2 linked regions of the Mus musculus genome follow. The protein of the gene in region 1 purifies or fractionates together with the protein of each later gene. This does not show direct contact. Links are inferred from orthologs where the notes say so. Each region holds a gene or a part of one and is shown on either strand. Other genes may lie near its edges.

Region 1 (4,177 bases):
ACCTTTTGTGGTTGATAATTTATAGGTTGTTATGTAATGGGCTTTGTTTCATTTTAAAACAAAGTCTATTGAAGGGAAAACAAACATCATATGTAAAGATAGCAGATGAGCAGCATCTACATAATTTGAAAACTTTAGAAATGTACACTCTTGGTTTTTTTTGAGACAGGGTTTCTCTGTGTAGCGTTGGTTGTCCTGGAACTCACTCTGTAGACCAGGCTTGCCTCGAACTCAGACATCCGCCTGCCTCTGCCTCCCAAGTGCTGGGATTAAAGGTGTGCGCTGCCCTTGCCACCACCACCCCCCAGTAGAAATGTAGACTCTTTGGTGTCCTTTTCTTCCATCTTCTAAAAGGTTTCATGTGGCTTATAGCTCAGTGGTTTGAGGAGCACTGTGGCTTAAAGTCACAGCAGAAGAAGAGGGTTTACAGATGAGGCTGACATCAACCTTGGTGGTGACAGGTCACTCTCTCTTACTCATCCAGAGTCAGGATGACCCAATTAATTGTACAGGTTTGTAGTTACACAAAAAGCTTTAGTTTCTTGTTAGGAATTAGATGTCTTAAATTTTAAAGTTCAATGTATCTCTGTTTATATAAGCTTACTAGTATTCAAAAGAAACAACATCTAAAACAACACATTGAATTTATATTCTCAGGAGAAAATGCTGAGAAGCTCCTCCAGTTCAAACGGTGGTTCTGGTCAATAGTAGAGAAAATGAGCATGACAGAACGGCAGGACCTGGTGAGTGAGAAGTCTCACAAAACTTGTAGAGTGAAATGCAAGGGGTCTGCTATGCTTTGTTGTTTGGTTTTGTTTGTTTTTTGGGTGTGTGTTTGTTTTCGGGGATGGGATGGTGGGTCTCTCTTGGAGAACAGTTTACGGATAAAGGTTCTGTGAAGTCTGCCACTTTGGTTGATCATTCATCCCACTCCTTCCCTCCTCTCTTCCATTTCTCCTGTATGTATTTTATCTGCATGTCTGTCTGTGTACCATATGTGTGTGGTGTCTTCAGAGGCCAGAAGAGGGTGTCAGATCACCTGGGCCTAGAGTTCGAGTTCTGAGTCATTGTTTGGGTCCTGGGAATGAAACCCAGAGCTTTTGGAGAAGCATCCATTCCCTGCTGACCCAGTCTCTAGCTCCATCTCAGTCTGGAATCTGTTTCCAGTAAGCCTTTTCTTCCCTGTTAACTGAGTGGATGAGTCCGGCTATGTTCCTGGTTCTTTTGGGGAGGGTTTGTTCCTTCTTTTTCCTCTGTACTGTTCTAAGATGATGTTTCTTACACAATTATGTCTTAGAAAATAACCCCAATTACTTAAGTTTCTGAGTTACTCCGTAAAGTTATTAGATTTATTTCAGTGCTTAGTTGTACAAAGTAAATACCATAGATTAAACTCTGTCCTAGAAGATTGGTATGTGAATGTATAGAAGGATAGATCTTTCAGAGTATTTTATATTTATAAAGTACGTATTTCCGTAAAGAAGCATTTTTTTTAATATTTTGTAATAAATAGAGTAACATTAGACACTTACTGGGTATCATTGGCACTATGTGTTGTCCAAAATAAATTTTTGCTAGCATTCCATATGTCATTGTATGAAATTTCGTCCATTGTAGATATTTCCCAATATTCAGTTATTGTTATAAAATTACTGTGTATCATAATTAGCATCTTATTACTTTGCTAGTAGATAAAATATAAAATGGCTTTTTAACTAGCCTGGGGTTGTTGGTTAAAAAAGAATTTCTCTTTTTTCCCAGTAAGTTACTCAGAGATCTTAGCTATAGTAAAGGCTCTTAGTGATAGCTTGACACAATAGCTTCCTGTCTCAGATGAGAAAACTCGGGCCTCAAGACAGTTACAACAAAAAACCCATAATGTGACACCCTTTTTTCTCCCTTAATCCTGACATTTTTTCTTAAATGTAGTTTATTGCATTATAATTGATATTGGTCTTTTAGTATAAGAAAATAATTTTGAAACTAAGGGAGATTTTGTTAGTTGTTTTGAGATTATAATTACATCATTTCTTCTCTTTCTCTCTCCAAAGCCTCCCTTGCTCTTTTTCAAATTCAGGGTCTGTTTCTCTGTGTCTCTGTCTCCGTCTTGCTCTGTGTGCCTCTGTGTGCTCATGTTTCTAAACACATAAGTAAAGCTTGCTCAGTTTGTATAATGTTATTTGGATGGATGTATGTTTTAAAGGCTGACCATTTGGTATTCGATAACCAACAGAGTGCTTTCTAGGAAAGTCTATTTCTCCTGCTCCCCAAATTCCTTAATTGTTGATAGTAATGTGTTTATGGTTGAAGCCTCCTGGGCTTTCTCCCCATCCATATTAACATGCCTGTTGTTGTCCTTAGCTTATATTTAGGCAGTTGTGTTAGTGAGGCTTTAGTTTTTAAATTGGGTTTTACACAGTGGGGTTGTTTATGTTGCTGGAATTCAAGGTGACTATTAACCTATTAAAACCAACATTGTAATTATATATCCTTGTTTAGGTTTACTTCTGGACATCTAGCCCATCATTGCCAGCCAGTGAAGAAGGTTTTCAGCCTATGCCCTCGATCACAATAAGACCACCAGATGACCAACATCTTCCTACTGCAAATACTTGTATTTCTCGACTTTATGTCCCACTCTATTCCTCTAAACAGATTCTCAAACAAAAATTACTACTCGCCATTAAGACCAAGAATTTTGGTTTTGTGTAGAGTATAAAAAGTGTGTATTGCTGTGTAATATTACTAGCTAATTTTGTAGATTTTTTTTCCCATTTGTCTATAAAAGTTTATGGAAGTTAATGCTGTCATAACCCCCACCCCACCCCACCCCCGGTGGTACCTTAAAGAGATTAAATGCAAACATTCCTTGCTGAGTTTGTAGCTTAAAGGCCTGAGAAGCACTGGCACCTTTTCTCTATGATGGTTTGCTAGTCGCCAACTTCTAGGTCTAACCCCAGCCAAAGATGACAGCAGAACAACATAATTTACACTGTGATTTATCTTTTTTGCTGAGGGGGAAAAATGTAAAATGTTCTGAAAATTCACTGCTGCCTTTGTGGAAAGTGTTTCAGCAAAGGTTCTTGTATAGAGGGAATAGGGAATTTCAAAATAAAAAATTAAGTATGTTCTGTGTTTTCATTTTAGCTTTTTTATGGTGTTATTTGTGGTTGGCTGCAATTGTGTATCATGTATATGGAACTTGTAAAAAGTTCTTGACATTCGGATTTTAGAGACAAAACCACTTTTACCTATAAAAACCTCACTTTTAGTGTGGGTTATTTCAGCTACATTGAGCTCTAGGATACTAAATACACTAATAGTTTGCATGTAATGTGTTCATTTGAGAGAGGCACTTTTCTGTACATAAAATGGGCCGACGCACAGTACCTTGCCACAGTCACCTTTTTTCTTTGTACCCCTCTTTCAGTGCAGGTGGATAGGTCACACTGCACTTGAGTGCTAACCAGATGTCTGTACTAAGGTTATGTGTACTCAGCCTGGGCACTTTCTGATAACTGTAAAATGTTTTATAAGATCATGAATACTGAAAATTTTAAATTTTGGAGAATTTTAAATGTTCTTGAGCAGCTTAACTACTTTTGTATCTAGCCTTTTTTTTTAAGTATCTTGTTACATTTTACTTTTTTAAATAAATTACAGAAGAAATGTCAAGTAACATTGAAGAAACAGTTTTTATTTATATAGTTGTACATTTTTTAAGCTAGGGGCAATGCACTGACATGGTTATATTCATACTTTTTTTTTAAGTTTATATACATGTGAACTATAAGAAAGTTAAGAAAATCAGTCCACATTTTACAGTTAGCAGAGAATCCTAAATGGCACTCAGCCAGGCCTTTTCGTTTTACAAGTAGAAGTGTGATTAGTCAGCACAGAAGTTTTGAGTCAACTCCATGACAGGCATCCATCCATCTATCTATCTATCTATCTATCTATCTATCTATCTATCTATCTATCTATCTATCTATCTATCTATCTATCTATTTTTAAAGATGCTCTGTGGTCTGGGACCAATACCCTTACATTTGTGGACTGAGAGTTTTATTCAGTCAGATAACAAGGAATTAAAAGTCCCTACTAGGATTTAAATTAGTTACTTAAATATTCAAAAACAATTAACGATACCTGTCTTTTCAGTGCCTGTTTAGGACTC
Region 2 (3,650 bases), on another chromosome or scaffold:
ACAAAATTGATAGATAGATATAGAGATAGATATATATAGGTACACACACACACACACACATACTGGATGAAATGAGGGGCTTAAACATGAAATACATGTAGCAGCTAAATCCACATATTAACACTTAATTTGAACAAACCCTCAAGTTCACATTTAAGCTTTTGTCTCTGCTATCATTGAAAACAAATAGCAAAGGCTTACTACAGCAGCTCTATTTCATCTTAGCCCAAGAGTTTTATGTCAGTCTTATTAGTGAGATTCTGTTTTTAAAAAAAACCCAAAATGTAATAAAAACAGAACAAAATAAAATGGCTGTTGTGTTTGTCTTTCTGGCCTCTTTTACATGTTAGAACTTCTTCAGCAGTGTTGGACTGCCATCTAAGATGGCGCATATGCAGTAATATACATCATATTTCTTTTAAGAGTTAATTTTTAATATTTCTTTTTATTTTATTTGAATTGGTGTCTTACCCGCATGAGTGTCTGTGTGAGGGTGTCAGATCTTAAGAGTTACAGAGAGTTTTGAGCTGCCATGTAGGCGCTGGGAATTGAACTCAGGGACTCTGGAAGTGCACTCAGTGCTCTTAATCACTGAGCCATCTCTCCAGTCGCCTAAAGTTAATTTTTTTTTAAATTACACTAATTTAAAAATTAGTAATTACACTAATGTGTGCTGTGGCACACAGGTGGCGGTCAGACCTGGATTTGTTCCACTCTGTCATTCTTTCTTATCACAAAAAGTTATGAGTGCTAAAAGTAATGTGTTCTAAGGCTGGACTGTAGCTCAGCTGTTAAGAGTGCTTGCCTTATGAGAGCCTAAGCTGCATCCTTACTCATCCCCCTGTAATCCTGGGCATTGTGGACTTGTCTGTCACCTCAGCATGCAGGAGGTAAACACGGGAGGATCTGAAGTGTAAGGAGACCTGTGGCCACACAGTAAATTCAAAACTATCCTGCACCAAGATTAAGACAGAAGGTTTTAGAAAGTAAGTTACTACAAGGTCTGTGCCTACAATCCCAGCACTTAAGCAGGCAGAGGCAGGAAAGTCGTAGCAAACTCAAAGCCAGCCAGAGGAAGAGTGTATCTCCAAAAAAAAGTTAAAAAATTTTTAGAAACACAATATCAGAGCCAAATTACAAAAAATGCATACATTTAGAAGAATCTCGTTTACATTACAAACATTAGTTTTCATTATGGTTTCTTTTACTGTATCAGTGTTTATACAGTGTGCTTGCGTGCATGCGTGCAGGTCCAAAATAACTCATAGGAGTTGGTTCTAGCCTTGTAGCATGGGTTCTGAGGGCGCACCTCAGGTTGTTCTGCCTAGCTGCTAGCCCTTGAATGTTGCTGTTATAAAAAGAACCTTTCCATTTGTACCCAGTCACAAAAGTAATAGCCTAAAGTTTAGGTTAACTAATACTTAGAAGTGTATTTATATACTGTAACACACACTGGAGAATTATGTTGGCTAGTTTTACGTCAAGTTAACACAGCCAGAGTCATTTGGGAAGAGGCAACTTCAACTGAGAAAAGGTCCTCACCAGAATGGCCTGTGGGCCATTTTCTTAAATGATGATTGATGGACTGTGGGTGGTGCCACCCCTGGACAAGCGGTGCTGGGGCATCTGGGCAAACAGGATGTGTGGGGGTTGGTCTGGTGCTGCTATTCAAATGCCAAATACTGGCCCCCAAGATCTTGTTGCCCCTGATGAACAGATCTTCATGGACAACAAATAATGCTATGTAAACCTTGCTAACCAAGTTATTCCTGATTGGTTAATAAAGATCCCTACAGCCCTGGCTGGGCAGAAGAAGGGGCAGAGAAAAGGTTCCCTGGGCTTGGGGTCTCCTGTAGAGACCAGGAGGAGAGTGAGAGAAGAAGAGGTCGCCATGGGGCAGCATGGATCATGAGCACATGCCCAGGAGGCCTGGCCTGATAAGCAGGAGCAGCCCAAAGGAAACACAGCCAGTAATATCTTTGGGATTCTGACTGGAAACAGACAAAATAGCTTGCATGGTTGTTATCTACCCAGCTCTAGTGTTGTAAAGCTTAGCATAAATCTAAAGGTCCCTGAAATGGAGTAGAAACCCCCCCAATAGATATTTAAGGGCAACAAAGGGGCATAGCTAACCTCCAGCATAATAATTACCACTGCAAGGATGAGCGAGCCAGTAAGCAGCCCTCCCCCACGCCCCTGCACCAGCTCCTGCTTCCATGCTCCTGTGTTGAACTCCTGCCCTTACTTCCCTGGATGACAGACTGATGTGGAAGCGCAAACTGAAATAAACCCCCTCCTTCTCAAGCTGCCTTTGGCCATGGTGTTTTGTCATGCAACAGAAACCTTAACTAAGACGAAATACTGTTTGTCTAGCTGGGCTTGGTGCTGTTTACCTGCCCCACAACTACCCAGGAGCTGGAGATAAAGCAATCACAAGTGCCAGGCCATTCTGAAACACAGCAAGAACAGATCTCAGAAAAAGCAAGGGACACTTTCCCAAAGTGCTCCAGCCAGACATCAAAAGCTCGTCCTCAGCACTGTTCTTCCGTTCAGTGGGGGAGCACTTGCCTCCCACGCATGGGGCCCTGGGTTCAAGCTCCAGCACTTTTTGCTAAGTAAAAAAGTGATGCATCAGAGAGCATCACAAATCCCAACTGTAAACTATGAAGAATCATCACTCAGGAAACAGTCGATATGACGACTATTTTATATGTAAAAAACCAACAGCTGTTAATTTAAAAAACAGTAATGCTGATAATCCTTCCAAATGATTCACTTACTATTTCTAACTGCCATGAGTTTCCATAACCTGAATTAGAATAATTACAGTCTAGGCCCCAGAATATACCGTAATCAGCATTGGTTATTACCCAAGAGGTGAGACCTTATAGTAACACACTAACACATGGTAGGTGCAGGTGTTGGAGACATAAAAAGCAGACAGACAGACAGACAGAGTCGGTTACCAATTCTAATGGTTGCTTTTCCCTTCCGGCTGCTTCCTAAGACAATTGTTTTCTTTCTCTGCTTAGCGGTTTTAGACGGTTCCTTTGATGATGGGGATGTAACCCACTGGTACTGGAAGAGACAGACAGGTGACCAGCTACACATGAACAGGACTCAACTGTAGCTGGACACAAGGAGGATATTTTACACTTAATAAAGCTTTGCGATTTTCAGTTCTCAAATCCCAAATCGAATAATAGACAATATTTTAAAAAACAGAAAAGACATCGGGCAGTGGTGGCGCACGCCTTTAATCCCAGCACTCGGGAGGCAGATTTCTGAGTTTGAGGTCAGCCTGGTCTACAAATCGAGTTCCAGGACAGCCAGGGCTACACAGAGAAACCCTGTCTTGAAAAACCAAAAAAAAAAAAAAAAAAAAAAAAGTCACCTGATTTTAGTTCAGATAGCAGAAAAATATCACCAATTTCACTAAAAGCAGAAGAAACGGTAACTAAAGGGAAATTCTGCCCACAAGGCTGACAGGAGCCATACCTCTGAGTCTGCACTCCTTCCGTTCTGGAGGACCTTTTTGATAACTGCTTTCATCATAGAATGATCTGAAGTAGAAGAAAAGTGAGACTGTTCAAGGTACACCCCAGGGACTGGCTGCCTGCTCACAAACAGAAGCCAGCTGACCACTGCTT

The links.
Region 2: the proteins of Ubr5 (region 1) and Cep78 purify together in Homo sapiens (affinity purification with western blotting; 3 studies listed by BioGRID, with this or other methods). This does not show direct contact. The link is inferred for Mus musculus from reciprocal best matches to the Homo sapiens genes UBR5 and CEP78.

What each region holds. Positions count from the first base shown.
Region 1 is NC_000081.6:37,966,828-37,971,004, reverse strand, and holds the end of Ubr5 (E3 ubiquitin-protein ligase UBR5), read left to right. Parts: intron 1-657; coding exon 658-743; intron 744-2,499; coding exon 2,500-2,712; 3' UTR 2,713-3,677; downstream 3,678-4,177. UniProt on the Homo sapiens protein: E3 ubiquitin-protein ligase involved in different protein quality control pathways in the cytoplasm and nucleus. Mainly acts as a ubiquitin chain elongator that extends pre-ubiquitinated substrates.
Region 2 is NC_000085.6:15,971,390-15,975,039, forward strand, and holds part of Cep78 (centrosomal protein of 78 kDa), read right to left. Parts: intron 3,564-3,650; coding exon 3,499-3,563; intron 3,079-3,498; coding exon 2,967-3,078; intron 1-2,966. UniProt on the Homo sapiens protein: Centriole wall protein that localizes to mature centrioles and regulates centriole and cilia biogenesis. Involved in centrosome duplication: required for efficient PLK4 centrosomal localization and PLK4-induced overduplication of centrioles.